4 linked regions of the Rhinolophus ferrumequinum genome follow. The protein of the gene in region 2 purifies or fractionates together with the protein of the main gene of each other region. This does not show direct contact. Links are inferred from orthologs where the notes say so. Each region holds a gene or a part of one and is shown on either strand. Other genes may lie near its edges. The genes, in order: STAT3, PTPN2, KPNA1 and KPNA6.

What was found.
Region 1: the proteins of PTPN2 (region 2) and STAT3 purify together in Homo sapiens (affinity purification with western blotting; 7 studies listed by BioGRID). This does not show direct contact. The link is inferred for Rhinolophus ferrumequinum from reciprocal best matches to the Homo sapiens genes PTPN2 and STAT3.
Region 3: the proteins of PTPN2 (region 2) and KPNA1 purify together in Homo sapiens (affinity purification with mass spectrometry; 3 studies listed by BioGRID and IntAct, with this or other methods). This does not show direct contact. The link is inferred for Rhinolophus ferrumequinum from reciprocal best matches to the Homo sapiens genes PTPN2 and KPNA1.
Region 4: the proteins of PTPN2 (region 2) and KPNA6 purify together in Homo sapiens (affinity purification with mass spectrometry; 3 studies listed by BioGRID and IntAct, with this or other methods). This does not show direct contact. The link is inferred for Rhinolophus ferrumequinum from reciprocal best matches to the Homo sapiens genes PTPN2 and KPNA6.

What each region holds. Positions count from the first base shown.
Region 1 is NC_046304.1:38,168,571-38,176,504, forward strand, and holds the start of STAT3 (signal transducer and activator of transcription 3), read right to left. Parts: upstream 3,013-7,934; 5' UTR 2,727-3,012; intron 2,239-2,726; exon of another isoform or gene 2,218-2,238; intron 1-2,217. UniProt on the Homo sapiens protein: Signal transducer and transcription activator that mediates cellular responses to interleukins, KITLG/SCF, LEP and other growth factors. Once activated, recruits coactivators, such as NCOA1 or MED1, to the promoter region of the target gene.
Region 2 is NC_046302.1:5,383,296-5,391,208, forward strand, and holds the start of PTPN2 (tyrosine-protein phosphatase non-receptor type 2), read left to right. Parts: upstream 1-4,898; 5' UTR 4,899-5,075; coding exon 5,076-5,144; intron 5,145-7,913. UniProt on the Homo sapiens protein: Non-receptor type tyrosine-specific phosphatase that dephosphorylates receptor protein tyrosine kinases including INSR, EGFR, CSF1R, PDGFR.
Region 3 is NC_046285.1:47,276,072-47,283,353, forward strand, and holds the start of KPNA1 (importin subunit alpha-5), read right to left. Parts: upstream 3,004-7,282; 5' UTR 2,807-3,003; intron 1-2,806. UniProt on the Homo sapiens protein: Functions in nuclear protein import as an adapter protein for nuclear receptor KPNB1. Binds specifically and directly to substrates containing either a simple or bipartite NLS motif.
Region 4 is NC_046292.1:22,040,769-22,048,052, reverse strand, and holds the start of KPNA6 (importin subunit alpha-7), read right to left. Parts: upstream 3,011-7,284; 5' UTR 2,985-3,010; coding exon 2,867-2,984; intron 2,544-2,866; exon of another isoform or gene 2,405-2,543; intron 1-2,404. Other genes in the region: TMEM39B (transmembrane protein 39B), read right to left, coding at 6,402-6,644. UniProt on the Homo sapiens protein: Functions in nuclear protein import as an adapter protein for nuclear receptor KPNB1. Binds specifically and directly to substrates containing either a simple or bipartite NLS motif.

The sequences.
Region 1 (7,934 bases), on a different chromosome or scaffold from region 2:
ACAAAAAGTCAAAACTGAAAATCCTTGGTCTTGCATTCAGGACCTCTTAGAAGTAGGCACTCCTTCTCTCCTACTTACCTTCCTAATCTACCAGGATTTTGTTTGTGCTATACCACCAAAACTCCTCACCCCTAATTCTTTATACCTATCAAATTCCAACCATTACTTGGGACCCAGATGAAATTTCTCCTTTGGCAAGACGACTTCCTAGATAATTCCAGGTCTCGTGACCTCTCGTTCCTCTAAAACCTGTAGCGCTTAGTGCAGCACTCTCCAAAATAACTTTCCACGATAATGGATATATTCCATGCCTGTGCTATATGTTTTCATTTTTCTTTTAATATACAATAGAGATCATAGGCTTAATGTCTCATCATCTCTTTGAGGACACGTTGCATTGTATGGATAAAACATTTATCAAGTCACCTCAGTAGACTGCAAGTTCTGTCAACAAGGCATCTTATCTTCACAGCAACTTTCACTAAGTTGCAAAAAGTAAATATTTGTACACCACCTCTGAGAAAACTATAAGGTGAAAATGTGCTAGACTGTGTCTGGAATAGTCACTACCTCTGCCTCATCTCACATCTGAATGTCAAGACAGGCACAGGCAGGGAGGAGAAAGCAACTTTCTGGAGACATAAATGACCACTGATCAAGCCACAAGGCACTTTGGTTTAAATAACATTTAGGCCACGACTGTCCATCTACAAACTTGCCTAAATAAATATTTCTTTCCATTAGCAAATAGCTAAATTCTGATGGTAAATGATGTGACTAAAAAGTTAGTTACTTCCCAAGTTAAACAGCACAGTTAGATAGAAAAATAACCTAAGCGAACCCTATTTGTACTTTTTTTCTCCTGTTTATTACGTATCTCCTATGGGGTAGGACAGCCTATTGGTGGTATTTCACTGTCCAGATATATGTTAGAATTTCACTGACAGCTTTCCCAACAGGGACTACACTCACTCTAAATCAAGACCAAATATTTAAGCATAGATAGTCAAAAGAGCACAAAATGTACAGGTGTGAGTTCCACCACTATGACAAGTATCTTGTTTCTTTGCCTCAATTTTCTTACCCACAAAATAGGATTAATGTTACAGGAACTATCTATGCCTTGTGGGTCAAGTCATAACTGTGGATATTTCTAAATGATTATTCTTCCCAAAAGAACTACATATAAAACTAAAAGATTAATAAATTTGCTATAGTTCTTTGTGGAAGGTGTGCTAACAAATTATAGACTAAGATCAACCCTCCAACATCTTCTACAATTTTTCTGTATTTCACGTTTCTTTCCCCCATCCCACTATGCAAATATCTGAGCAAAAATTCTGCTAGTACTCCAGCAGATTCTGCTAGTACTCTGGCACATGTAATAAGGAAATAAATGTATTGATTCAGGGAACACAGATGTTTAATATAAAATAAAATATAAAATTGACTGAATCAAGTCATAACACAATCTAAATCCACATCTAAAAGACTGAGATGATTCACTATTCTGATTTATTCAAACCAATGCTTTATCAGCACAACTAGCCAAAAAGTTACAACCCATTTACAGAATATACCCTTTAGATACACACAATAAAAACCAGCAGACACACATTATGTACATTTTTAATAAGAAGAAGTGTTGTCAACACCATACACCCACTTGATATAAACACAGAGGGATGTGTACTAAACATGGAAAAAGCAACTTGAGTAACAGTATGAATTCTGCTAACTTAAGACCAACCACACACCCCAAACACAGGTAAAGTTTGCACACATGGCTTCACCAAGGCCAGCCTGTCTTTGTTTCCCTCTCCTCTGCATTTACCCAAGATCTTGGCTCTGAGACAGAAAACTCCCACTCTCGATTGGTGCATTCTGCCCTATGCAATTAAGCAACACCACAACCCAGTAAACGGAAGGTCTCAATTATTTATCTTCTGGCCGAGTTTACCAGGTGTTTATAAAAGAACAATGTCAAGGAGAAAAGAGGTTTATTTCTCTCTAGAGCTGGCTTGATTGGGGGGGGGGGTATTTTGTTTTAGAAGGGGGCGGAGGGAAGCAGGGCTTAACGTTGTAAAAGACGGGAGGGAATTTAGAAAGAGTGCACAAGACTGCCAATTTCCCTACAGGAAACTTGATTCTTATGCAATAATCCTACCCACAACCAACCAGCTCGTGAGACGGTAGGGGGAAGACACCTATTCTTACCTCCAGAGGGGCAAAGCTGGCTCCTAAAGGAGCGAGAACACCGCAAGGCCGAGGAAGTGGCTGGGGGGGAAGGCTCTTTTCAACCCCCCCCACCTCCCCGTGATCTCCGCCGGCGTGACAGTCGCTCCTGTGGCCAGAACGTCCCCGGAGCCCCAGAGAGCAGGAAGTCGGGGGGCTGTCCCTCATTCCTGCCACCCCCACCCTAGAGTGCTCTTGTCCCACGGTCCTCCCCCTCGAACCCATTCTCTCTTCCTCGGCGCCTCCCCCTTCTCTGAAGAACGAAACTTCCTTCCAGCGCCCCCTGTCCCTTCAGAGGCCCGCTCCTGTCATCCCTAGGAGTTGTCCCTTCAGAGCGACTCTCCGTGTCTCTTTGTATCCTCCTGCCCCACTGAAGTTTCGATCCACAACTCCCCCAAACACCCCAGTCACTCCGGTCACTCCGGTGCCCCCGGGGTCCCCAGGCCTAGGAGCCGTAGGGGGAGAACGGCCCCACCCTTCACCCCCTTCACCTGTTTCTCCGGCTGAGGCCCGACAGGCCGGGGTGCGCTTGCGCCGGGATGCGAGCCGCGGGGCTCCCTCGGTCCACTGGGTCTCTCCTGGCAGACGCTGAGAGAGCGCGCCGTGCGGGGGTGCTAGCCAAGGATCGGTTCGGGCTCACTCCCTCCGCCGCGAAGTCGGAACCCCAGGCTCTCCCAGTCTACGCCGCCGCAGCTCCGGAAATCTCTGAATTACAGCCCCTCCAGCCAATCCCCGCCCATCCCCAGATTGGCCGCGACACGCCGTTCTGCATAATTCATGAGACGGCCAGTTTTCTCAGCCACCCAGAGGCCCTGGTGCATGTACGTACATCCGAAGCCCCACCCACTGACCAATGAGGACAGCTTCTGGAAGGAAGGGCGGGTCACACAAGGCTGGGAACGCCCCTTGATGGCTGTTCCGAAGGCTTAGTGCTCCTCCCTCCACTACAGCAGGGGAATTGCCAAGGACTCGGGCACAGAAGCTCAGGGGGAGGGAGGGAAGATGACCGGAATGTCCTGCTAAAAACTCAGCTGAGTTCCTGGCAGTGCGTGACGTCAAGACACTTTAAATGCCCCTGATGCGGCTCTCATCTGCTTGCTCTCCCTTTTCCCGGCCCTTGACACCACGTGGCGGCGAGGTTGGGAGTCACTAACCACGTGGGAATCAGCCAGTTAGACAGTCCTAAAATATCGCCAGGTCCTCGGGGCCCAACACCTCAACTGGGTTTCTGGAGACAGCAAAAAGAACATGGGTGACTCCCGCCAGCTTTGAACTGCAGTTTCTGCGTGAGACGGGACACACACACCCGGAAATATGACGTGGAAATAGAGTAATTACTAGAGTGCGTGGGGAGAGGGTAGTGGATTTAACCCTGTTCTCGGTTGCGTCGCTTTAAGCATCAAACGCCACTGTTCGCACATTGGCCAGTTCACGAGAATGCAGAAGACAGTACATATGAAGATTGACACGTATACATATTTTTATGCTTCTGAGTTGAAATTGCCTGCCTTTTTTTCGCCTACTCTGCTTGAGCGCGAACCCAAGTTTTACTGCATTGAAGCCAGTAGTTTATAGAAAATGTAGATATTTTTTTACCTTACATGATAGAGGATGTACTTTGCATGATGGAGTAATTTGTGTGTGCGTGTGCGCGCGCTGATACTATCAGGTGTTTTTTCTTTTTAATAACAGCTATTGTTTTTGTGTTTGTTGTGAGTGTTTAATACAAAGGGGTATAAAGATGAAATCTTAAAAGGGCCTAATTATGTTACCACTCAGATAACCCCTGATGACAGTTATTTTCAATGAAACTAACACATATTCGTGGTTAGAAAATTCAAACGGTTCAGAAAAGTTGAAAATTAAAAATGAAAATTTCCCTCCTTCCCCCACCAGTATTTCTCCCCAAGGATAGCTATTCTTATTAATTTCTGGTGAGAAAAATCAATGACTCTTAACCTGTGGTGGGAGAGGGTCACAGATCTTTCTGGACTCTGTTGGATTCTCGCCCTAGAAATATACAGTATACACTTTTACCCACAAATTCTCACGGTTCCCCAGATAACTGAAGCCCAGTCAAAGACCAGATTTGGACCTTTCTACCACCTTATTTATATCCAAGTGAGAGGTGATCCACCTCACCTAAACTCTGCTTTAGCTGTATTATCCCATGCAGTTGACAGCCTCCCTAATAACATAGGGTCTAACATTTCTTTAGTTATTTACTGCTTACAAAGTACTTGCACACTCGTTACCTCTTTTCTTTCTCACAATAATTATGTGTAGCAGATAGGAGAGGCCATATTATTTATTGATAGGAAACTAAGGCCAAAATAGTATGACAATCTCAGGTCAGGAGCTACTCAGAGGTATACCAGAGCCAGGTTTTTGAGCTTCACATCTCATGACTTTGTTCCATCTACTAATACCCTGCCCTCTTCTCCTGCCTTCTCAGCAGCTGGCTTTTGTTTCCCTCATACAGAAAATCTACCCCTGAGCCTATCTGTTCCACCTACAAAACCTCTCTCCAGCCCCGCCACTGGCCTTTCTCCACACTCTGCCAATCCCCCTGCGCTTACAGATGGCAGTTTCTTTCACTTGAGCCAATGCTTTGACCTGAACTCCCCTTTCCAGCCTCATCCCCTCCATCCCACAAACCTTACCCTCCCACACTGAATTCATCACCTTCCTCCAAACATGTCAGCACCTCTGTAGCTTCATGCCATTAAAGATCTCCCTTCCACCTAAAATATCTTCTCTTTCCCCATTTCCTACCTGAAAAACTCTTATTCATTCTTCAAAGCTCAGTTCCTATATTTCTTCCTCTGGGCTTTCTGAGATTCTTCCTGTCAAAGTTAATCTCTTCTGCTGGGCTCCCTTAGCAGGTTGTTTCCCTATTCTAGTTTCCCTATCCACCTCAGCCCCATTTATTAGCCTACTTCCTGGTAAATAAAATTAATGATTAACATTTATTAAGTAATTACTATGTTCCAGGAATTGAGCTAAGGTTTTTACATAGATGATCTCATTTGATCCTCAAGAATCTAGTGAGGTAGGGCACTATTATAATTCTTTTTTTCAACTGAAGAAACTATGGCTGAGAAAATGAAAGACTGGTCCAAGGTCCCATAGCCAGAAACTAAAGGTAAACTCAGAATGAGAATCCAGTCTGGCTGACTCCAAAGCCTGGCCTCTCTGCCTACATAGTTGAAAGCATGTGACATCTAGCCCAGAACTCACCTAAGCCTGATTTAATTGAATAGTAATAAACATGTATTGAACACTCATATGGGCAATAGCTAACACGTATGGAGTATTTATTGTGTACTAGCCAGTACTCTAAGTATGTATTATATAGCACATGTATTAACTCATTTAATCCTTATAATAACCCCATGCGGAGGATACTGTGATTTTACAAATGAAGAAAATGAGGCTTACCCAATGTTAAGTGACTTCCCCACATATATATACCTGGTAAAAATGGCAGAGTCAAGATTCAAATCCAAGTGTCTACTTTGAAAGCCTGAATAACTGCTCTTCCTTGACCATATCTCCAGGCCTAACCTTCCTCTTGGATCCTCAAGGAAGGGTCTAAAGGAGGGGAAAAGATGAGGCCCCCATTCTCCACCCATCAAGTGAATAAGGCAGAGTGCAGAAGCCTTGCAAGTTTGTGGTGGTTTATAAACATGTCCGCAAATTATCTGACACTTCTCCCATCTAAAGATAAAGTCTAGCTCCATTCCCTTGGCGACTTGCTTCTAATACATAGAATATAGTGGAAATGATGCTGTCTGACTTCTGAGATTAGGTCATAAAAGGTGATACAGCTTCCACCTGACTCTCTCCTGGTACACTCACCCTTGGAACTCAGCCGCCATGTTGTGAGGAAGCCCAGGCTCCACGTGGAGGCCACACAAAGGTGTTCTGGCCAAGAGTCCAGCTAAGACCCAGCTGATAGGAACCATCAACTGTGAATGAGCCAGACTCCAGCTGATTCCAGCCCCCAACATTCAAACCATGCCGATGGAGGCCAAATGGAACAGAGAAGAGCCTTTTTTTAAAAAAAACTTTTATTCATTTTAATGTGTTTTTCCAGGACCCATCAGCTCCAATTCAAGTAATTGTTTCAATCTAGTTGGGGAGGGCACAGCTCACACTGGCCCATGCAGAGATCAAACCAGCAATGTTGATATTATTAGCATCATGCTCTAACCAACTCAGCTAACCGGCCACCCCAAGAGAAGAGACTTTTTTGCTGAACCTTACCCAGATTACAAATTCATGAGCAAAATAAATGTTGTCGTTGCTTTAAGCCACTAAGATTTGGGGTGGTTTGTTACACATCAATATGTAGTCAGGATAGGTTTCCATTTATTACCTCAGAGAGACTCAGAGGAACTATAGGCTAGATCAGGAATTGAGACTTACCGGGCTTTGTAAAATTCTAGAAATGTTTTATTTAGTTCCTCTTCCCTGGAGGAATTAGTACTAAAACTCTAAATCAAGAAAAAGACATGGGAAGAAAGAGAAGATTTGGAGAAGAACATTGGAGGCGGTAAATAGGTGGCAATCACTGCAGTGACCAAAAGGGGCAACGGGCAACTTGTGTGGGTGATGGGACCCCCACGGGGCGCAGCAACAGAAAGGTTCATTCACACAGGGTTGCCCAACTCCCCCTCACTAAAATCACAGAGGAGCAGATCTGTGCAACACGAACTCCTTGAATCTCTACTTTCGTTGTGCAAAAACACTTCTCAGGCATCATCATGTAAGCATCTCCCTTTCCTCCTGTCTGAAGAACAGTCCTCCCTACTCAATATTTTCAACACTAAGCTCTTTTCCGGCTTAAAATATCATTCATACGATGTCATTCTGTCCCGTCAGTGGCTTCCCATGAGGCTTAGGATACAGGAATTCTTCTTTTTTTTTAATCCCCTTCAGTACCTGCTTACCCACCCACCAACCCCCCACACCTCTATTCTGCCCACTAAATTCCAATCAGTCCATTTCCCACCTCAGGGCTTTTGCACACGCCATACTTTTTCTTTCTCCAGCTTTCACATGACTAGTTTCTTCTCACCCTTCTGGTGTCACCTGCTCAGAGAGTCCTTGTCTAACTACTGTCACCTAAAGTTGCTCCCAGCCCCTTAATCTCTATATATGCTGTTTCCTCTGGAATTCTTATTATATTTCTCATTTATCTGTTTACAGTTTCTTCTCTTTCTTCCTCGTTATACTGTCAGTTCCAAAAAATGGTCCTTGCCTGTTTGGTGCTCCTTTGTCTCCCCAGTGCCCAGGAAACAGGCACTAAATAAATACTTATTGAATGAATGGAAGTTCTCTTGGTCCTACCTGTCCCCTCTCTGAGCTTTATCAATTCTTCTCTCCCTCCTGACCTTCCCCACTTATTTCCTCCCTTCTGGCTCCTAAGATACTCCCTCCTTTCTATCTTGACCCTCAAGTTACGCCCTTCTTTCCCATCATGGTGCTCATGCCCTCACTTTCACTAGCTTTACCAGGGTGCCTTCTGCTCTCTTCTCTCCACAGCACAGTGCCCTTGAAGACCATCAGAGACCTCCTCCTTCTCAAAGCTGATGTCTTATTCTCAGTCATTTTACGTATCTTTGCTCTAGGATCTGGTACTGATGATCAACTGCCCTCCTTACCCCTAGACTTTCTTCCCTTGACCATCACAG
Region 2 (7,913 bases):
TGTGTTGCGATACATTAGCCACTAGCTATATGTGGCTATTGAACATTTAAAATGTGACTTGTGTCATCATCAGAAACTTCCAAACCCATAGAGAACTTTCATGAGTTTATTTGAACCAAACTGATGGCATGCCAGGAAGGAAGATCTTGAATGCTCTGGAGAATGACAGTATTGCAGTTTCTTTTATACATTCGGTATTAAGGAGGGAACTAAGGAAGATTACTTGTGGACAATATTATGTGCTCTTTTGAGAGTGGTGTAGGGGTTCAGAACGAGCCACCCCAAGATGTGCCTCAGTGGTATGTGGATTGTTTTGAGCTAAAGGAAATTTTAGCTTCAGTCTCGAGAAATTTCTGCCCCTCCCTTTAATTACCTAGAAAAACTTGAATTAGGGGGTCTTCTCCATAATAAGAGATTATCAGCAATAACTTTTCTTACCCTCCCTCCATCTGGCAGGGAAAACTTTTATTTACTAAACATTTGTTCTTCTTATAATCCTGCATTGACCCTTTGAAGCTTCTAAGGTGCGTTACCTCATTCCTGGATCAGGATGTCTTATATGCCTCAAACCTCCTTTCTATCTCTGAAGCTCTCATGCAAGTGCGGTCTCCGTCTTTCTCATGTATGTGGGGTTCCTGTATATATGTATGTATTAAATTTGGTTATTTTCTCTTGCTAAGCTGTCTCATGTCTATTTGATTATTAGACCAGCCAGAAGAACTTTGAGGGTAAAGGAAAGTTTGTTCCTCCCCCACAGTGGCTATGCCTTTGAGGGTCTGAAAAAAGAGGATTAGTGTGGATTTCAAAGGTGTGTTAACCTAGATGCACAAGAACAGTGGACAGGGCTTGCTTAAGGCAAAGATAAACCTTTTTATAGGCCCGGGACATGACTAACCACCAGGACCTGCCCAGTTAGGAATTTTATAATTAGATCACCTTGTGAGGTTACTTTCAGTCAGATTTATTACAGAACCCCTTTTTTTGTTCACACCAGTGCAACTAAGCAACTAAAATTTTAATTTGTTAAAGAAAAAAATATTCATGATGCTTGTTGAGGATGAGGTGAGGGAGACTTTATCCACGAGTGGAGGGGAACTATTGTTATGGTAGGTATAGGGACCATTGCAATGAGTCTTCTAGTGGAAGTGAGATCGGGCTTGTTAAAAAACAAAATTTAACAAAATGGTGTCACTTGTGCCAAAGCCCAAGATACCAAACCCAGATTTAATACCTGACCTAATTGCTATTTCAACTGTTACCGGAGAGTTGGCCTTCCTTGGCGCAGTGTCCAGGTTCTTGGCATCTCGAGCAAAGAACTGAATGAGATACCGAGGTAAAGTAGTAAAAAAGCAGTTTATTAGAAGAGATAGTACACTCCGAGGAAATGGGAGCAGACCCGAGGAGTAGAGAATGGCTCAAGGGCACAAGGTGGCATTATTAGGAGAAAAAGTACACTCCAAAGGATTTGGAGCAGGCTGAGCAAAAGAAGAGGCTCAAAGGCCCAAAGGCTCAAAGGCCCGAAGGTGGCATTATTAGGAGAAAATTATACTCCAAAGGGTTGGGAGCAGGCCCCAAGCAAAGGCAAAGCTCAAGAGGCTCAAAAAAGAAAAAAGGGCCTGACTGGGGAGGACTTGAAGTTTTTATTCTTTTTTGTCTAAACTGGGCTGCTCTTCCCACCCCTGCGTGGGACCACTTGATTGACACCTGTGATTGACAAGAGGCTATTATTACCTCATCTTTTTAGACTGTGCATGTTCTTTCCCAGAACTCAGTCTGTTATAATGAACTTCCAGGCGTATGTATGGTATAATGATAGTATAATGAAGCCAAGGTGAAATGAAGGTCATTGTGGCCTTTACTGCGCAGGTGCAAATGACTGGTCTAATCTAGTTGGGTATTTTGTACCCATTTGTTCCTCATAGGGGTAGATAATTACAATGAAAAGGGGAAGTTTTGGACAGAGACTGGAGGTCTTCTGGGCAGTCGCAGCCTGTGGGTTGTGTTGGACAGGCAGGAATGCAGAATCCCAATGTCTGTCTCTAACTGCCTGCCTTGTTTTCCCCTTGAGAGAAGTGATCCCCATAAAATAAATCTCTATGGGAAGTTGAGGAACAGGGAGTCTTTTCTTTTGTATCCACTCCCTGCTGGGCAGGGGTGTAGAACTGTCCCTACCTATTGGGGAATTCACGGAACTCTCGCCCTATCTGATCTTAGATGTGAGGAAGGGGTCTTGAGTCCGTCTGGAAGACCGGTTGGCTTCTCTGGTTGTGGCTGGCAATCTTGCTGGGGTATCCTCTGTATCCCCATGGCCCCTAAATGAAGAAAAGTAGATTTTAATTAATAAATCCATTAGCTCTATAGAGCCTGTGGCCATTCAACCACTCATTCAGGTGGTGTCAGTTGTCCAGGAGCTGGGCCCAGAATGTGCTGGAAAGAACATTAGGCTTCAATGATTACAATCAATAAGTATACTGGCCTGGAGGAATGTTAAAACCTATTTGGTCTCTGGGATGGAGTTATCCAAGAGTTAGGTACAGAATGGCTTGGGGAATGTTGAGAAGGAAGCAGGGGTTTTCTAGGATTCAGAAACTGACTGGAAGAGTAATCAAAACCAGGAGCTAAGGAGCTATGAAACTACATACGTATAGGGAAAAGGAGACTTAAAATTTCTATAGTGAGGGAGCTCTCCCATATCACAGCCTCTTCCGGAAACATAATCAGAGCTTGGAATTTTCTGGTCAGTACCAATGAGGTAATCTGTCAAGTGAACCCTCTCCATCCCTACACCCCAGAAAGAAGAGGCAATCTGCATGATAAAAATTTTCACCTTTCCCTTCATCCAGGAAAAAGATATCCTGGAGTGAAAATAATTCTTTCTTTTCTTTTAATAGCTCCCTTGCTCTAATTTCCTTTCTAAAAAACCTTCCATTTTGTACAACCCCTCAGAGAACCTTTCTAATTGCTAGATGGGATCCTGCCCAATTCATTAATTGTTTAATAAAGCCAATTTAGATCTTCAGATTTACTTAATTTTTAACAAATCCTTCACATTTCTTAAGGAGATATTATTGTGGGGACAGAGCCAGGAGTACAGTTTCCAGGCTCTCGGCCTCACATAGAAAGGTGCTGGCTCAGGTAGTAAACGGCCATCAACTGTGATTGGATGGCCATCAGCTGTGGCTAGTTGGCCGTCAGCTGTAACCAGTGATCCATTGGCCACTAATATAACTGCTGTGGCTACGCTAGCAGCAAATGGGGCTAGCAAGAAGATGGTGGCTGAGCTAGCAAGCGCGGATTGCAGTTAGCAAGTGAGGTTGGTTGGTTGGCAGAAAAGTGGACAGAAGGTTGCAGATCGTGTGGATCCTGTTTCCTGTGTCTGCAACCCAGCTGCCAGCAAGACTATAGTGGTATGACTCCCCTATCTATGGCTCCGTGGGTGTTCCTTTTTGGCCTCACCATATCTTGCGTTCTTATGTGGGGAGCGGGACCAGAGACCCTGCATGACACATGGCGCAGTGAGCAGGGTACGGTGCCGACCAAAGCTCTCCAAAGGGCAGTGGAGCAGTTTGTGTATATGAACACTCAGTCTCAGGAAGATCAGGAGGAGCAGCTGCTGGAGAGCTGGACCCCTGTGGAGGGATGGGAAGACGTGGATGGTTCTCTGACCAGCATTGGCTGGAGAAAGCAAAGGTCGTTGTGGCCCTGTGAGCTGGGAAGTGCTTGCTGAGGCCCTCACCCCCAGGTTGGGGAGGACTTGGAGACCTTGCCCTGCGGAGAGGTGTTGTGAGGCCAATGCGCAGCCCTGGGAATGACTATGGACTATTGGGAATTACCTTCCATCCCTGATTTGATGGACTGCTTGACTGTTTGCTTGGGAATGTACCACCCTGTAGTGGAACCAGTGGATGTTTGTGTGGGGACAGAGCCAGGAGTGCAGTTTCCAGGCTCTCGGCCTCACATAGAAAGGTGCTGGCTCAGGTAGTAAATGGCCATCAACTGTGATTGGATGGCCATCAGCTGTGGCTAGTTGGCCGTCAGCTGTAACCAGTGAGCCATTGGGCACCAATATAACTGCCAGGGCTACACTAGCAGCAAATGAAGGGCTAGCAAGAAGATGGTGGCTGAGCTAGCAAGCGCGGATTGCAGTTCGGACGGCGGGTTGCGGACAGTGTGGCTCCTGCTTCCTGTGTCTTCAACCCAGCCACCAGCAAGAATATAGTGGTATGACTCCTCCCCTATCTATGGCTCCGTGGGTGTTCCTTTTCGGCCTAGCCGTATCCTGCGCTTTTATGTGGGGAGTGGGACCAGAGACCCCGCATGACACCCTGCATGACAATTATAAACACGAGTTCACCAACAATGAATTATCTTAATCTGAAGTGAGATGATTTCTGTAACCAGTGCGTTTGTTTGGTAAACGGTGATACGCTCTTTTTACATTTTTAAATTGTATAACCTTTACTTAAGCTGTATTCTCCCTAATTCCAGGATAGGTTGCCTCTCCTTTTGTTATAGTGATGTGTCACAAAACCCCCAGGCATTAAGTAGCTGGCATCAGGGCTGGTTTACATTCTCTGAAAAGGCTAAGAAATTTGTTCTAAAGTTGGACACAGCCGCTTAACTGACCTAACTGATGTTTAAAATAAAATAACGGGAAAGCAAAAAGGAAGAAGGTTTTTAGGGTACTTTCTTGGCCTGCTCCATCCATGTGAACCTGGTATACTCCACACCCTCCCCGGGGCCATTTCTCTCGAGTCCAGCGAGCGGGCCAACTCCTGCCCAAGGATCTGAGACTACCGCCTCCAGGGTGATCTCCTTGGCTCCGCCCCTACCCACCTGGGCGCCCTCTGAACCACTCCTCCCGCGAGCGCCCCGCCCCGCCACCGGACCCTGTGACACGCCATTCGACGCGCTGACGTCATACGCTCCAGGTACTTTCCCCGCAGTCAGTCGGACTTGGCGTGGAGGCGGGGCGGGGCGCGGAGCGCGCATGCGCCGCAGCGCCAGCACGCTCCCCTGATCGTGCGGGGGCCTGAGCCTCTCCGCCGGCACAGGCTCCGCTCGCTCCAGCGGCCATGTCGACCACCGCCGAGCGGGAATTTGAGGAGCTGGATGCCCAGAATCGTTGGCAGCAGTTGTACTTGGTGAGTTGAGGGCTTGCGCGACAGCCGCCGTACTTCGCGGTGGACCCGGGCTCGCGCCCCCCAGTTCCCTTTAGCCTCCCCCGCCTCCCGCTCAGGGCGGAAGTGGCGGCGCGCAGGCCGCGTCAGGGCTGCGCCTGCGCCGACCGAATCTCTGGTCCCTTTTGAAAAAAAGACTTTAGATGGGGGGGTTCGGGGTGTGGAAGGGGGTGCCTATCTTAAGCGCAAGCGCAGTGTTAGTTCTGGAATGTGGCGCTACAGCGGCGCCTTGTGGCGGGCGTAGTTCTGTCTCTCTGTCCGCGGGCGTGGGGGGCGGGGAACTCGAGTGGCCAAAAGGCGGGTGGGTGAGGGGACCGGTGAGGCCCGCAGGCGATCGCGGGAAGTGGTGAAATCGCAGGGGACCGTGGAGAGGGGCGAGGTCGGTGAGGCATTGGGGTCTCGCAGAGCCGGGCAGCTGCGGCCTCACGCTTGCTTTCCCGCCCCTGTGCCTGTCTTTGCCCGCGGACACTTTTTTTAGCAGGCTGGGTGTTTCGTGGCGGAGCAGGCAGAGGCCGGCCGTGACACCCATTGCCGAAGGTGCTGCCAGCTCTTGCCTTGGTGGTTGTGGGTGGTACCTGGGCCTCTCGAAATGGTAGTGCCTAAACCGTAGTGCTGGCGAGAGCTCTTGGCGGATCAACAGTCTTGTTTCAGAGAGCCCAGTGTCTCAGCGTGTGGGTTGTCTTCCTCAAAGAGGTCCCAGGAACAAGCACCACCTAAATCAAAATAACCTTTCTGTCACCCCAGAAGGTGCTGTCATCCCCCCTCTCCGCCCTATAGGCCACCACGGTCCTGGTTTTTTATCACCGTAAAATAAACTTGCCTTGTTCTCGAACTCATGTAAATGGACTCATAGTTGAACTCTTGGTGACTAGCTTCTTTAGCTCAACTAGAGAACCTTTTAATTCAAACAATTTGATTTTATCTTTTAAAATGACTTAATTGCCTGTTCCCTACTGTTTAATTATTAGCTTATTATTCCCAAAATTGAATTGAGTGGCTGTGAGTTAAATGCTGCTCCTGCTGTTCGCTTCACTGTACAGGAAAAGAAGGAAAAATAAAGGCTTTCCTGTAAATCTCGATGGGCCTGGGTTTTCCCCCATACCGTTTAATTAGATGAAAGTAAAAAAATGTTTTCTTTGTCATGATGCTCAGAATGTAACATTTTCCTCTTGAACCCATTAGCTGGTAGTGAATACCTGGTTCACAGGGGTACAGAGTATGTTAGACTAGGGAACTAACTTTAAAGAATGCTGGTAAGGACTTTTCCAATTATAGAAAATTTGAACTGGAAGTTCTATTAGGAATCTATGTGAGAGCCTGCTAGCTGTGACATTTCCAGTGGTTTTTTTTTTTTTTTTTTTTTTTTTTAGCAGAGGCTACTGTCCAAGTTGCTAGTCATATGTACAAAATACAGATTTGAGAAGAGAAAGGTGAATGCTGCCAGTTAATTCAGCTTAACATTTTGGTTAAGCGGTTTGATTTTGTGGTGTGTGTGGGTGGGGGGGATAGTATCCTTGAAAATTCAATGAAAACTGTAATCTTTTTCATAAAAAAATGCACTTACAGCCACTGAAAATTTCATATTTAGTTTCAGGGAGTTCAGGAAACCCTTCCATGGACTCCTGCCTGGGAATCCTTTAGAGGATTGGTCAATGCTCTTATTATTTTCTTCTTAATGGAAGAACAAGAGTATTAGTTTGGTCAGGTCAGGGGAGATCATGCAATACACATTAGTGTTACAGTAAAAGTAGGTCACAAACGAAGAAAGTTAGTAATGGAAAGCAGACTTACAAAGAGTTTAATTAAGAGTGTTTTCTTTTGACTTTAGAGTATCCATATAGCCATTTTACCAATACATGCTGAGCACCCGTGGAGTGCTAGCCCCTGCTCTGGGTTTTGGAGATTCAGCAGAGAATGCTAGTGACAAAGTTCCTGTTCTTTAGGACCTCACATTCTAGGACTTGTTCTCTTGAGGGCTTCATTGCAATTCATTCATTCACTCATAATGCATCTGTTATGTGCCAGCGTTAGACTGAGTTCCTGCTTTCAAGGATACAGCCTAGTGGGGAGTAGTAAATAGGTAAGCAGATGAAAGTGTAAAAGTAATAAGTGCAATAGCTAGTGTTAAGCAGAGGGTGCTTTATTTTCCCCAAAGGGGTGCACTGGGAGTTCTGGTGAAGCAAGTGTACGCTGCTCTTTTAAGAATCCCAACTTGATGGGATTGAGTGGGGAAAGGTGGCTAAAATGAAGCACGACTATGTGACTTCTCTACTTTCCCATTGCTGGTAATATAAGTTTTAAACATCTCCTATGGCTCACAACACCACAGGTCCTGCCTTCCTGTATTTCTTCTCTCTTTTCCACTAGGTTCTGTTCCTTTAAATGTACATGTCTGTTCTTCCCTTAGGCCTTTATAAATGTAATTCTCTACATTATCACAACTTTTCCCCTTTTGCTTAACTGCCTCCTATTCATCCCTGAAGTCTCACTTCCTTAGGGGGTGCTTTCCTGACGCTCCCATACAGAGTATGACGTCTCCCCCCATATATTTCTGTAGCATCCCATGACTTCCCTTTTCGTAGCAGTGCATTAAGTCTAATGTAGCAGTAGATTTTATTTAGGGAACACAATTTGCGTTTCGCAAACTACTTTTTGCTTGAGTAGGGGAAAAGTGTTTAAGTGGCCTTTCTGCTTTGTATAGCACAACAGTGGGTGATACTTACGATAATGTTT
Region 3 (7,282 bases), on a different chromosome or scaffold from region 2:
ACTGTCCCAATTAGTCTACTACACTAGGTCAGAACCATTTTATCACTTAGGTCAGTTTTGTAGAGTTGGAACATCTTTAAATAAAACAAAACGAAATAAAACTGTACTGTTCCATCAGTCTTCATCCCTGCTCTTTCACTGCAGGGCCTCAAACTTTTCTAATGCAGGCTCTATTTGGCCCCTCAGTGGCCTAGGGCCACCTTCTGCTTACTGCAGCAAGAATACAAATCAGCCACAACAGCTAATTGAATTGTTCACCATTTACAATGTTTTCTTCCATAATTATGGCTGAATTCATAATACCCTGCAAAGTACAGAAATCTTAAAACAAAGATAGTAACGGAATTATCTTTATCACTAGATCAGTCATCTTTACATACATGGACCAAAGTCTTAACTGATTTTATACAAAAGTCTTAATTGATTTTATACAAAGTATTCATATATACTTCTAAAAACAATCTGACAGAGATAAAATACAAACATCATAAATCATCAAGACTTCATCATTAATTCAACAAACACTATGCCTAAAACATTGTAAATTAAAATAAGATATAATCCCTACTTTCAAATAAAAGGGAAAATATAAAAACAAAATTGATAGCAACAGGGAACAAAGAAAATAATCCAGGAAACAACACAGAGCAATTCCAGACTATCTGGTATAATTGTAACATAGTTAAGGCTAAGGAAAATTATAAAAATTGGACACATCTCTGACTCTCCTCACAGCCAAAGTGTAAAGAGAAACACCAACACCTACAAAACACAAACAATGTAATAAAAGCAGCCGTTTGTTTTTTGTTTGGTTTTTTTTTTAAAAGGCTCATCACTGGGGTCTTAAAAAAACTGTCTCAAAGTCTCTACTCTGTAAGAATAAATAAAAAAAATTAGAAACAGTGTCTTGGATGGCAATGAAGAGTTTCATGTTGCCTTTTCTTATGTATCAATCCTAGATAGAAGTCAAGATACATAATATTAAATCATAGCTTTGTGAAGAAACTTCCATGAGGACATAAAATAACATAATGCAAATATACTGACTTCAGATGAGGCATTTAGTTCTATCATGTAGTTTATTCTAGGTTTTTATAAATGTATGTTTTGGTTCCCTACTACTGTAAACTCAAGGCTTATGTTACCTGATTCTATTTGAACTTCCTTTGCTATTTAGGAGAGTTGTTTACAGTTTCTGCTCAACTATAATGACAAATGAAGTGTTATGCAGTGTTTACATTCGTTATTTGTTAGTCTTCCCCTCTACACTATAAATTATATGAGGACAGGAAGAGTGTCTTAACCATGTCTTGTATCCCCAGTGTTGGGGCACATGATCACTCCATAAGTATTAGCTGAATGAATGGGTTAAATAAAGAAAACACAACCAAGAGGTACGAAAGGAGATAAATAATTTTTTAAAAGTGGCAGTAACTTTGGGTTCTAAGGCTGGTTCCAACAAGAGCTGGATGACCTTAGGTAAGTTCTATTTCTGCAATCGTCCAAGTTTTCATCTGTAGAACAGGAAAAATTAATATCTACTTCAGAGTTACTGTAAGCATTAAATGTTTTAATATAAAGTATTTAGCACAAAACTTGGAAAGGAACTCAATGAATGTTAATTCCTTTACTTTTGCTCATGTCCCCCAACTTAAAATCAGGTATTACACATAAAAGCGCCCCTTCCAATAATAAATTATTACAGTAAAAATACAAGAGAGTTCATTTTCACTTTTCTTTGAAAAGTTCAAATTTCATCTCTTCAATCTTTAAAATGGAGGGGGAATAACCTGTGGATTACTTTCAAAATATCACAAATACAAGAACAAGTTGAGGAAAAAACAATGTCAAGAATGACTCTTAAAGCAACAAGAGGGAGCAAAAACATCCTTCATCGGCTAGAAACAAGTTTTGAAGAAACTGTTTTATTAAAGAAAAAAGTAATATTATTTAATATGTTTCAGAAGAATCCTGCAAAATTGTTTACTTTTAATTTAAACCTTAAAAATCAATTCTTGTGAAATCTTTCACTTACAAGTGGGATGTTAAATGCTTTCATTCAAACCTTAAACATTCCTTCATGACGACTGCCCTGACTCCAGCCATCCTCCAGTTTCCTTGTCTCTAATACTTCGCTGTTTCCCTCGAATCACCACTTACACACGCAATGTGCAGACTGAGTTCTGTCATTCCTATAATTACCACACCCCTGTCAGCCGCTTCAGGCCCATGTTGTTATGACATCTGTAAACTGCAGTCGTTACGTCTCCACCCCCGCCTCCACCTCCCTCCAAACCACCGGCTCCGGCTCCGGCTGTAACTTGTGAATTCCCAGACCGTCCCATCCAGCCTGGCTTAGGATTTTCGCACGTCCCCCATCCCTGCTCTTTCCTGCCTCAGTCACAGCACTCTGCGCTGCGCACCCCGTCCCCCACCCGCTCGCTCGGGGCCACAGCGCAGGCTCCGCGCTCGCCTCCTCTCCGCCCCGCTGCCTCGGCGCCCCGCAGTCACCGCCGCCGCTTCCAGCACCGCCGCCGCCCCGCCTCGACCGGCGTTCCCGATGGCGATCACATCAGCGCTCCCCCCCCCCGCCGCCCGCCCCAGTCACTCCGCCGGCCGCGCGGCCGTTAGGACAGCCGGGCCAGTGACGCACCGACGCGCCGCGAGCGCCCGGGCCCAGGAACCCGAGCTCGAACACGGCCGGCGCCCTCCCACGCCCCGGGACCTCTCCCGGGTCCCGCCGAGGACTGCCGGATCCGCCGGCGGGAGGGGGAGGGGCCGGGGCCGCAGGGGTCCCCGCACTCACCAGGCTAACGGCGGGCGATCCCCGTGCCACTGCTGTGGTGAGCCGCTTGCTCGCTCGCCGGCCGCAGTACCCCTCGCGCACACAACCTCGAAGAGCCGGCGAGATCCTTGGCCGTGCTCACCAGGCCTCGCGATCCGCCGCCGCGCAACCAGCAGCAAGACCTAGCTCAGCCGGCGTTCGCAGTGCGTCTGCGCACGGGGGCCGGCCCTCGCGCCTGCGCGCGCCCCTTCGCTGCCCTGATACAGAGGCTGCCGGGAGATGTAGTCTTTCAACCTTCTTTCGGTGGAACCTCTCTCCGTTATCCCAACCAGCTGAAGAGTGGGAGGTCGAGGAGAAGGTCTCGCTGAGGAGGTTCGGAGTCAATTGTAAAGGTTGTAGAGTTGTGGTGGGTGGAGTGACCATTAAACGGTACTTCTTAGGTTGAATTACGAAGTTAAAGCTATAAAACCTGTCGTCGAAGCTCTTCCAGGGCGGATCGATCCCTTGCTCATCTCTATCTGTATCTAGCTTCCGGTAATGCCGTTAGTACCTAATATATTTTTCTTTTCTTTTCTATGGCTGGCAACAATGATAGCCATCTTTTAGGCATTTGTTTAAGTAAACTATCTCCTTCCATTTGTATAAAGTCAAAAATTTCATTAAATTCTTCCGTACATTTTGAGGACGCTGAAATTGACCAAACACTTTCATTATGAAAACCTCCGTATCACAGGTAAGCAAACCACACCCTTCTTTTAACAGTGTTCTGTATAAGGTGTTTGTTTAGCAGATGACACCCTTTCATTTTCTTTGGTAAGAAGTTTAGACTGGATAGAACTTGTCAAAATTAACATTCGCACTGAAAGCAGATAAATGAGTCAATTCTACTTTGTCTTTGGACAAGATGTAACACCCTTTGGTTTATGTGTTGTGGTTTCATTAAAATCTTAATAGACATCTTGAAGACAATTTGAAACTTCACTTTTCAAGTCAAATTACCTTTAGAGCTAGAGGGAACATGTTTTTGAATCAGGAAATGTAACCTCTCTCACTTCCGTAGATCAATCCAAGGCATGATACAATAATGCATATTGGTTCATGTGACATGCCCAAGATAATTCAGCCATTATTTTCAACTGAGCATGGGTGTCTCTTGAGGAAACTAAAAAACTTTTGAATTTAAAGTACTGTCTGTCTCATTCCAGAGTTGTAAACTGATTTACAGGGGCTTTCACATCCCCTCTCCACCATGCCCAATCCAAAATACTTCTCTACGTATTGTGCAGTGTGTTCTGTTTTTTCCTTCCTAATCTAGTTATATTGTCCTTCCATCTCTCATTAACATTACACAGTCATTTATATTTCTTTTTCAATGATGTTTGGGTCATGCTGTTGTTGGTATTATAATCATTCTCATTCTCATTATCTTACCTCTTATAAGGCATGGTTACCGTATTCATGATGCTAAAAAATTCAGTTTATACGAAGCACAACGATTAATCCACAGGCAAAGCCAAAGATGGACTGCTAATGCTTACGACTGCAGTGCACTTAAATTGCACACTTAGGTCACCTCCCTCAGAACGCTACAACAATTATCATAATTGTGAAATGCAACTCAGGGTTATCAACATCAATGGTCGGGGACAAAAACAATGATGGTGACTATAGATAGAAGTCAATCTATGGTGTGTCCATTCGACATTAAAAGCAGTGTTGCTTTCAGCCCCTATTTTGAGGGGGCAGTCATGGATTTTGTACTTTTCCCCTAATCTCCCACACCCATTACAAGAAGACCAAGATTTTTGGCGTGAGTGCTGGGAAGGCTGCCCAGGATGTGAGAATTTTGGTGCTAAATCCCAGAAGGTCGGGCAAATCAGGATGGCTGGTCACTCTTTCCCACCTGTACTGGCCAGATGGATCCTCTTCATCTAGCCAGTATAGCCATTCCCTTACCTGCTGTGAGTGCTGGCTGATAACTGTCAGCTGCCCCCTTCTCTGAATTGCAGACCCCAAAGGAGCCAGCTTTCTAGAAGGCTCCCACTCCCATCCCCAAGGACAGGTGTAGTCCAGTAATTGACAGAGTTCAAAGGGACAACCCTTGCTACAGAATGGGACTTACTCTAATGGTACAATTTGTGCTCTAGAACTTCCCCCTGGAATCAGACTGAAGCTTTCCCCTAACCCCATATTCCCTGAGAGTGCTTCCTCAATAAGTCACTTATTGAGAAGAGTGGCTCAAGAGTGAACAAGAATCCCCATCTCAGGCTCTGCTTCTAGGGAACCCAAACTAGGACATGATCCAAATTTGTTTTCCATTTCCTTAACCTGTTGTCCAAAACCACTTATTGAGGTTGGTCCATTGTTTTCCCAGTGATCTGCAATTTTACCTCTGTCATTCATATAAATACACATATTCAGGGCTCTATATTGAGAAAAGTATACATATAGATAGTTACATGACACTCAGAAAAATGAAAAGATCCAGTGAGCAAAACTGCAAGCATAAAATAGCAGTTTTGACCTGAACGTGAAAACTTGAATAAGAAATCAATTGTATTTTTTATCACATAAATTCTGACTTTTAAATGGTACTTAGCTTCTCATTGCAAATATTTGCAGGAAATTTTGAAATGTACCATAAATATATTGACACCATAAAACCTGCAATGTGAAAATGTGCATCATAAATATCACAGAATATTTATGTATATTTATATAATTTATATAGTATATATAATATGTAAACAAGATATATATGTATCTTGAATATACATAGTTATCAACTTTATTTTATATATATTCAATATATAGAGTTACGTATCTATTTTGAGATATATACATTCAAGATACCTATATTCTCAAATTTCCACATTAGCGCAGGTCTGTTTTGGAGGTTTCTATTTTACTCAGCTTTTTTTGGTCTATCCCTGCACCAATAACACATCTGAATTACTGTAGTTGTATAAGTCATGATATGTTATAGATCAAATCACCTTCACTTTGTTATTATTCTCTAAAATTGCCTTTGCTTTTCTTTGGCCTTTTTATTAAATATAAATTTTATAATAACTCCATCAATTTCTATGAAGAAAATCTGGCATGATTTTGATTGAAATTTCATTGAATTGATATGATTAATTTTTGAAGAATAGCCATCTCTATTATATTGTCTTCCTCTGGATGAGGAGATAGTATACCTCTCCATTTATTTAGGTCTTCTTTAATGCCTTTCAGTGATGTTTTGTAATTTTTTTCATGAAGTTTTTATACGTCTTTTGTTAAATTTATGTCTAGTTACCTTATTTTTTTTTTTGCTGTTGCTATTGTAATGGTAAAAAATGTCACATTTACTGTTTCTCATGCATAGGAATGAAATTGATTTATGTGTAACTTCCATGTAGAACCTTGGAGAATGCTTTTATTAATTCTAATAACTTGTCTTCAGATTTTCTTGGATTTTTCTATAGACAGTCATATATCCTGTGATTAATGACATTTTCATTTCTCTATTTTCAGTCTTTTTTTTTTGGTTTGTTCTTCTTTTACTGTCTTTGACAGAAGCTCTAATTCATTTGCTAAATTTAAGTGGAATAGGAAGCATCCTTTGTCTCATCCTGATTTTGTAGGGAATCGTTCTAATGTTTTAACATAAAATATGATGTTTGCTCTAAGTTTTTGGTACAGAATCTTTTATAAATTGTTTATCAAATAACTTTTCTCTATATATATGGAAATGAGCATACCATTTAATATGTAGTTGAACAACAACTGCTTGAATTGCGCAGTCCACTTATGTGCAGACTTTCTTTTTTCAATAAATACCTGTTCTGTTTTCCATACGCAGCTGGGAGTCCGCGGATGCAGAGGGTGAACTGTGTACATTGATCTATGACATTTTATATAGGGGACTTCAGCATCCCAGGATTTTGGTATCCGTGGGGGTCCTGGAACCTACCTCCACCATGGTTACCGAGGGACAACTTAAGTCTTTGGGGAGTTAGAAATTATATGCTGATTTTTGACTGTGCGGAGGTTGCCACCCCTCCTAAATCTCATGTTGTTCAAGAGTTGGCTGTAACTACATGGTGATTTACATTAATAGATTTTTCTAAAGTTAAGTTATCCTTGAATTTCTGAGATAAACCCAAATTGACCATGATTTATTTATATAGAGATAAATTATATTTAATATTTTGATTAGGATTTGTGCATCTATGTGTATTTACATAAATGAATGTCTATTGTTTTTCCTGTTGTATTTTATGTCTGTATTTTATACTGTTGTCTATCTTTGGTATCAAGGTTGAACTAGCCCTGAAAATTTTGGGGGGAGTATTCCTTCTATGTCTGTTCTCTAGAAGATTTAATATAAGATTGGAATTATCTGTTCTTTGAAGATTTGGTAGAACTCACTAGAGAAATAATTTTAACCTGTTGAATTTACTTGTTTAATTGATAGGTAAGTTTTCAATTACTAATTCAACTTATTTAATA
Region 4 (7,284 bases), on a different chromosome or scaffold from region 2:
CACATTTTGGTGATACCTGAATTAAAACATAAGCTGGCAAAAAATAATAAAACTTGGCAAATCTCTCTTAAATAAGGAAGGCTTTTTCAGAAGTCACCCAGGCTTCCCTTCACATCTCATTAGCCAGAACTGTATCACATGCCCATGCCCAAATCAATCACTGCCCAGGGAGACAGAATTACAATGATTTGGTTTAGAGTTTATATTAATCAAGACCTAGCCCCTGGGGCTGGGAAGGGGCTGCCCGATTCTTGATTAGCAAGGTGGCAGGGATGGTGATAAAACCACCAGTGTCTGCCAAGACTTAGTTTTGAGAGGCGGTGGTCTCTGCCGGGGAGGGTTAGCATAAGTAACTTCCAGAGCTGCAAAGATTACTTCCACGGGGTTCCTAATGGCAGTGAAATCATTATAAAGGTCTGTCAAGGCTAGTGAAGTCTGGCACAGGAGAAATAGCACAGGATATAGGCCAGAGCTCAAGGAGAGTACACCTGAGACACAGTGAAATACAGCAGGTTCTAGATTCATGTAGATGTGGTGCAGGCCGTGTTAGTGTCCCCAGGATCCAAAGGGCCTAGATCACCAGCCTTGGACTAGTCACCCAATCTCAAAGCCTCAGTTTACTCATTTAAAAATGAGGATAACCCAAACTACCTCGGATTCACTGTCAGGTTTAAATGTATCCTTACACTAGTTTCACTCCCATGGTATAAAGATCAGCTAAAAACAAAAAACAACAAAACCACCAATAGCTGGACATTTAGAATGACAGGGTGAGATGTGAAAGGTACTTGAATTGGAGCTGGAGAAAAAGGGAGGCCACCCCACTCTAGACTAAAAATCCCCATCAGGACCCAGGTCAGGTTTTGTTGCTCCACTTAAGAACTTTCATTTCAAAGTCTACCAGAAAAAGACTACTTTACTTCACACCTTAAGTCTTCCAAGAGGTTTATGTGCAGCAAAATGGTTAAGAATCTCATTTCTGACTTTACTGTTTACTAGGTGTTATCTTCTCTGAGGTAGTTTCCCAATCTGTAAAAACTGAGTAAACTGTACCAGATTTATTTCACTGAACTCAACAAACTAAATATTAGTAGCTCCCTCCCTTTGAGGTACCAGTGTTCTTGAAATTGAAGGCCAGTGTAAAATCTGTAACATAAAAGCCCTAAACTTTTTCACTGATACATAAAGCTGCAATTACAAAGACAGACCTGTAAGTCTTAATGGAAGATTCTGGAAACCAGAGTACTTAAGAGAAAGGAACTAACATTATTGAAGGTAAACAATCTGGTCTGATATTTATAGAACCCTAACCCTAACCTTCCAACACTGTGTTATCTTTAGTCCTCAAACACCTTGATAACACTGCCCTTCCCTCTTTCTAGAGATGAGGGCATGGAAGGCTCAGAAAGGAAGAAAAAGAACGAACACTTGTCGTGGTTGTGCTTTCCATATGTATTACTGCATTTATCTAAGTGACTTCTCTGGATGAGAGCTAGGAAGTGCCAGACAGGTTTATAATACCAGATCTGATTCTACAATCATTGCTTTGCTGTTCAAGGGAATAATTAATATTTCCTCAGAATCAGGATCTTACAAAACTCAATTCCAGGGTATCGTTTAGCTCCTCCTCCGCCCCCCCCCCCCACAAACAACAGTTGGGGTTAGCAATTCAATCTGCAGTTTTCCAGTTTTGTTCAGACTGAAGACTTCAAAGTGGGCCCACCAGCAAAAAAAAAAACACCAAAAAGCAAAAAAACCCACCACCTTTACAACTTCGCCTAGGGTTAAAAGCTTTCTTCCCCCCTTTTCCAGCCCAACCACTAGGGGGCCAGGCTATAAACTAGGGCTTTAGAGTGATCACCCAGGTTTAGGCACTGTGTGACCTTGGGTACATTACCTTACCTCTCTAAGTCTCAGTTTCCTTATCTGTAAAATACGGATAACAGTATCTGTCTCATTAGGCGGCTCATATTAAGTAAAACGGAACATGTAAAGCACTCAGAACAATGTCTGCACATAAGAGCTTAGCAAATTTGATATTTTTTATTGCTGGAGAGGAAATACCACTAATGTTTCTGCCCCTAAATCCAAAGACTTCTCCATTGCATTCTTCCCTAACACAAGCCTGGCCAGCCGGAGTCCCTTCAGAAAGAGCAAGCAACAGGTCTCTCCTTTTCTCCCAACCAGGGCCAGACCCAGAAACCTTAAATCCCCGACCTATATACGGCCACAATGTCTGGGCCTTTGGTTTTCCACCACTATGAAGGCCGTCACTCTAAACCTAACCGAACCACCCTATTTTTGCTTTGGCTGGGGAAGTTCTAGCCTTCAGCGGCCCAGGCTGTCTTTAGCATGGCTGCCCTTGGTTACGGGCCTGGAGCTGGCTTGCCTGGCGTCCCCTCACCAGAGGACTCTAAGCGCGACGTGGGTAGGATTTCCCTCAGTTCAGGGGAGCCACTGCATCCAGTCAAGATGCGCGTCGGTCAAACACACGCCTGGATGAGGATCCCGTGGCGCCGCCCGGGCCTGCGGCGGGGAGCCCGTTTCCCGGCCGCAGTCTCGGCGCAGGCCGGAGGGTCGGCCCCTTTCTAGCCCCGGGGAACGCTTGGGCTCTGGCCCAGGGACACCACGTGGGGGCTCCAGGCGTGGCGACGTGTTCCCAGAACCAGCCCCCAAGGACTGCTCCCCGCATGGGCCCTAGCCCGGCCCCAAACTGGCCTAAGCGCCACTCCCGGCCTGGCTTCTCCCCCAAACCTATTTGGAGGGGACTCAGACATCCTCTGAAAACTGGAGACAGGCTGTCGCCAGACCCAAGCCTCAAGACGGCCTCAACTCGAATCCCCAGATGCCTGGTTCCCTTACTCACCCATCGCGGCTCCGCTCCTACTTGGCGGCGGCAGCGGCGGCAGCTTCAGCGGCAGCTTCAGCAGACAATATGGCGGACCTGCAAGACGGCAGCCCGAAACGGACAAACAACTTAACATTCAACCCCGGGAAGAAATGCGCTCTCAGCTCCACAGCCTAGTTTACACAGAGGAACGCTCTTAAAGAGACCGCAGCTAAAAAGGCGGGGAATAGGGGTGGGATCTAAAAGGGATGGGTGGAGAGAGACTTGGGTGGGGAGGAAGGAAAGGGATTACCTACTAAAGAAAGTGTGCCTAATTCTCAGCGTTTTCTGCCTCTAGTGAGGAAATAGACTAGAAACGTTTTCTCTCAGAAAGCAATCCTTACTTTTGTAATTAATGCCAATCATAGACCCAGCTGGATATGTATAAGGAATTATCTGAAGAGGGGAAGTGACTTGCTCAAGGATACAGAGATAAGGAAATAAGTCAGGAGTAAACGGGCTTACAGTTTTATTGGAAGATGAAAAGTAGAAAAATAATAAGACTGCTGCAGTGCTTTATAGTTCACAGAGCTATTTCGTTTATCCTCACAGCAAGCTCTCTGGGAGCAGGGATTGGTGTTGTATTTGTTCATCACTATCTCCAGCACCTAGTACAGTGTCTGGCACATAGTATGTGCTCCATAAATAATTGTTGAATGAATAAACAAAACGAACAGGCCTGTGAGTTACACGAAGCATGGGAAATGATCTCCCTTCTGAGTTGAAGAAATTGAAGCTCCGAGTGTTCATGTATCTTTTGAATTACGGAATTTATGCTGGCACCTATTTGGCCTCTTTTTGTATGACAGGCCAGTTCTCCTGTCCCCCACTTCCACACACAGAGGAAGGCTGTATCTTCAAGTCACTGGTCCCAAGAGGGAGCTGTCTTTTGGAAGCAGAATAAGGGACCTGGACTTCCAGATCCTGTCACAATAAATTGCGAACTCTAGTCATGTGCCTGGTCCATTAATGGAAACAACTCAAAATTCAGGGTCAAAAAGGAAGCACTATCTTTCTCTTTCTACTGCCCCTGTTCAACGTCAGACCTCTTCATCCTCTCCCGATCTATTTTGCCTGCATCCTCACCGGTTTCCTGCCTCTAGGCTCTCCCACTCATACCCATTATCTCTTTAAAAGGAGATACCTTATCATGCACTCCTCTGTTTAGCAACTTCCTACTCTCTGCCCTTAGGTAATGCCCAAACATTTCAATCTGACACAGGCTGATCCTTACTGGCTTCTTGGGCTACTCCCCACAAGGCAACCCAGGCTCCATCCATATTTGGGGAATCATGGAATCATTTCCTCCCATGGTCTTTTGTGCCTTTGCATGTGCTGTTCCCTCTGCTTGGAATGTAATGCCCTCCGTTCCCCCTTGACCGTGGGGTGAACTATTCACTTTCCAGACCGTTTCTCACTTCCTTGAAACAGCCTGTCTTTCCGGACAGAGTTAGGGGTATCTCTCATTTTTGCAACCCAGTGACCTGGACACACATTTTGCTCAGCAGTTAGCATCCTAATTTGCTTATAAGATATGTCTCTCTCTCAAGGTTGTCTATGGCAGAGATACCCCGTTCCCTGAAAATAAGAAAGACCTAGTTGTACAATCAGCTCTAATGCATCTTTTGGAGCAAAAAGTAATATAAGACCAGGTATTATATTATATCTTAGAGAGACCTGGTCTTATAGTCTTATAGTAAAATAAGACTGGGTCTTATATTAATTTTTGCTCCAAAAGACGCATTAGAGCTGATTGTCCGGCTAGGTCTTATTTTTGGGGAAACATGGTAGTATGTATTGTGGACAAAAAAAAGGGGCACTGTAATAAATCTGAGCAAAAGTAATCTCACAGGATGACCTGATCATAAATTCCTAACTGGGCAGGTCATGGTGGGTAGTCAAGCTCCAAGCATACAACTTTTTTAGTAAAAGGTTCATCTTTGCCTTAAGCAAGCCCTGTCCATTATTTTTGTGCATCTAGGTTAACACACCTTTGAAACACCAGAGTAATCCTCTTTTTCAGACCCCTCGGAGGCATAACCGCCCTCAAGGGAGCACTAATCTTAGCTATCCTGTACCCTGCTTTCTCCCCCCTTCATGTAATCTTCTGTTCCCTTCTTAATTCCAAATGCAGAAGAGAAACTGCAAAAGTGCCATTCTCCAGAGCATTTGAGATCTTGCTTTCCAGCACTATCATCAGTTTTGGCTCAAATAAACTCATAAAAATTCTCTACAGGTTTAGACTTTCTTTCGTTGATATTATTCCTCATCTTTCTACCTGTCCCACTAGCACAATGCCTGCCTCAACAGAAGCACCAAACACATTTGTGGATTGTCTGTCCCGCATACACCCTGTGGACTCACCTGCATATCCTGTGGCCAAAAAAAATGGCTCAGGGAACACAGGTAGACTAGATGAGTGGCTGTAACTGTGTTTCCTCTCCCACCCCTGCTATGCCCATAGGAGCCAGGTGGCCCTCCAAGCAGCTTTGTATCCACTCTAGCCCTTGGCCTTGCTCACAAACCCTCCCTTGTCTAGAGCTATTGGTCCTCTCTGATGCAGACCTTTCCAGCTCCACCCTGCCTCGCCCCACTTTCCTTATCCATCCTGCTCTAGGAACCACATTCTGCTTACTCTTCCCTTCCAAAAGACACCAAGATATTCCAAAACTCCGTGCTACTCACTGCATGTGTCCTTTTCCCTGAAGTGCCTTTTCCCTCTTGTCCACCTAGGAAGTGGCTGATACAACTCAGGCTATCTCCTCCAAGAAGTCAAGAGCATTAAACATTCTTTCCCTTTTGCTACTCTGTACAGGGTAACTGTTACACCCATCTCAGTGTAGTAGGACTTGTTTCTGTCTTGGCTTTCTCACCATCTACCTCAAAGCCTGGCACAGAGCAGGGTCTCAGGAACTGCATGCTGAATCAGGACATCACATCCTGCCAGGATAGTAGTGTCGTCTTTTGGAGGGTTTTTTGACCCAGCTCTACGTCCTAGCTGTTAACTTGGGCAAGTCACTATAGCTCTGAGCCCATTCTTCATCTATAGACTAGGATTGTCACAAAAGCTGGATTAAGACAAGGCCTGTCACACACATAGAATCGCATCTGGTACGCAGTGAGCATTCAGCTAGAAGCAGCTAGCACTGCGACCACGACCTTGGGTGTCTCCTCTCCTCTCCATTGAAGAAGGCAGAGCCCACAGTGGCCCCACAAGCCACACATGAGGCTTCCTGGCCCAGAATCCCACACCTCTGCGCTCTGATAGGCAAGAAGAAGGGAAAGAAATACAAGACACAAACTTATTGGGAGTAAAAAAATAGGATTTTTTTTCCTCATAATCACATCAATTATCAAAGAAAGAAACAGTATGTAACAAAAATACAAAGCTCTGGTGGATTTTTTTTGTCTTTTTTTGTTTTGTTTTTGCCCCTCACTCAACCCTCCCCAACAGCCCCTTCCCCAGGAACTCCCGGCTGCAGCCTGGATGTTGTCCCCAGGGTCGCCCCAGGGCTCAGGAGAACCGGTGGTCCAGGTCCCTCTGCGGGCTGGCCGAGTACGAGTAAGCCTTGCCCAATACCAGGCGGTCCCGCAGCAGTTTGAAGAAGGCATAGTAGTTGCTGAAGAGAATGAGTGCCAGCGAGATGGTCTGGTACCACTTTTCAGACGACATTAAGGAGTACAGCTGGTAGACAATGACAGCGCCCTCCAGCAGCAGCAGGATGTTAAGGATCCGCAGGGGTTTGCTGAAAAAGAACTGCCCAGGAAAGAGTAGGCACAGGCTGGAAAGTTGGCTCCTGAAACCTGCCTCGTGGATAGGCTAGGTGGGCCACTGAAGGGGACAAGCTCTTGGGGCCCCAAGGAGATTTGGGTGGGGAGAAAGACTTCAGAGGGTCAGGCATGGACTTTGCCACCCCTCTGCCTTTGCTTGTGGTGTTCCTTCTGTCAAGACTACCGCTTTCCACATAAGTTAAGATCTTGTTCAACCTCCACCTCCTTCAGGAAGCTTTTCTTGAGAGGTCTTGCCTGCTCTCAAACCTTTTCCAGTCTAAAATCAACATCTTTTTCTACATGATCTTCTTGGGTACTGTAATGCCTGAACAAATTAGCATCTTATGATATAGGCATGGAAGGTTATTGTAGAATCTACAGCCTGAGCACCTACCACTTCATGTGTAGCATCGCCAGCTAGGCCAGAAGCTTCCAGGGGACATGGCGACACTTCACTCTTACCTGGTGTTTACAGGGCAACGTAGAGTGTAGGGACTCAATAAAAGTTTTCTGATCAGTTCAAAGAATGCAGGGGCCAAGGTACTGATACCTCAAGAGCTGCTTACAGGATGGGAGAAGTGGCAGGAAATGGGAGTCCTGCATGTCAGGCTCAGCTCTGCACCTGA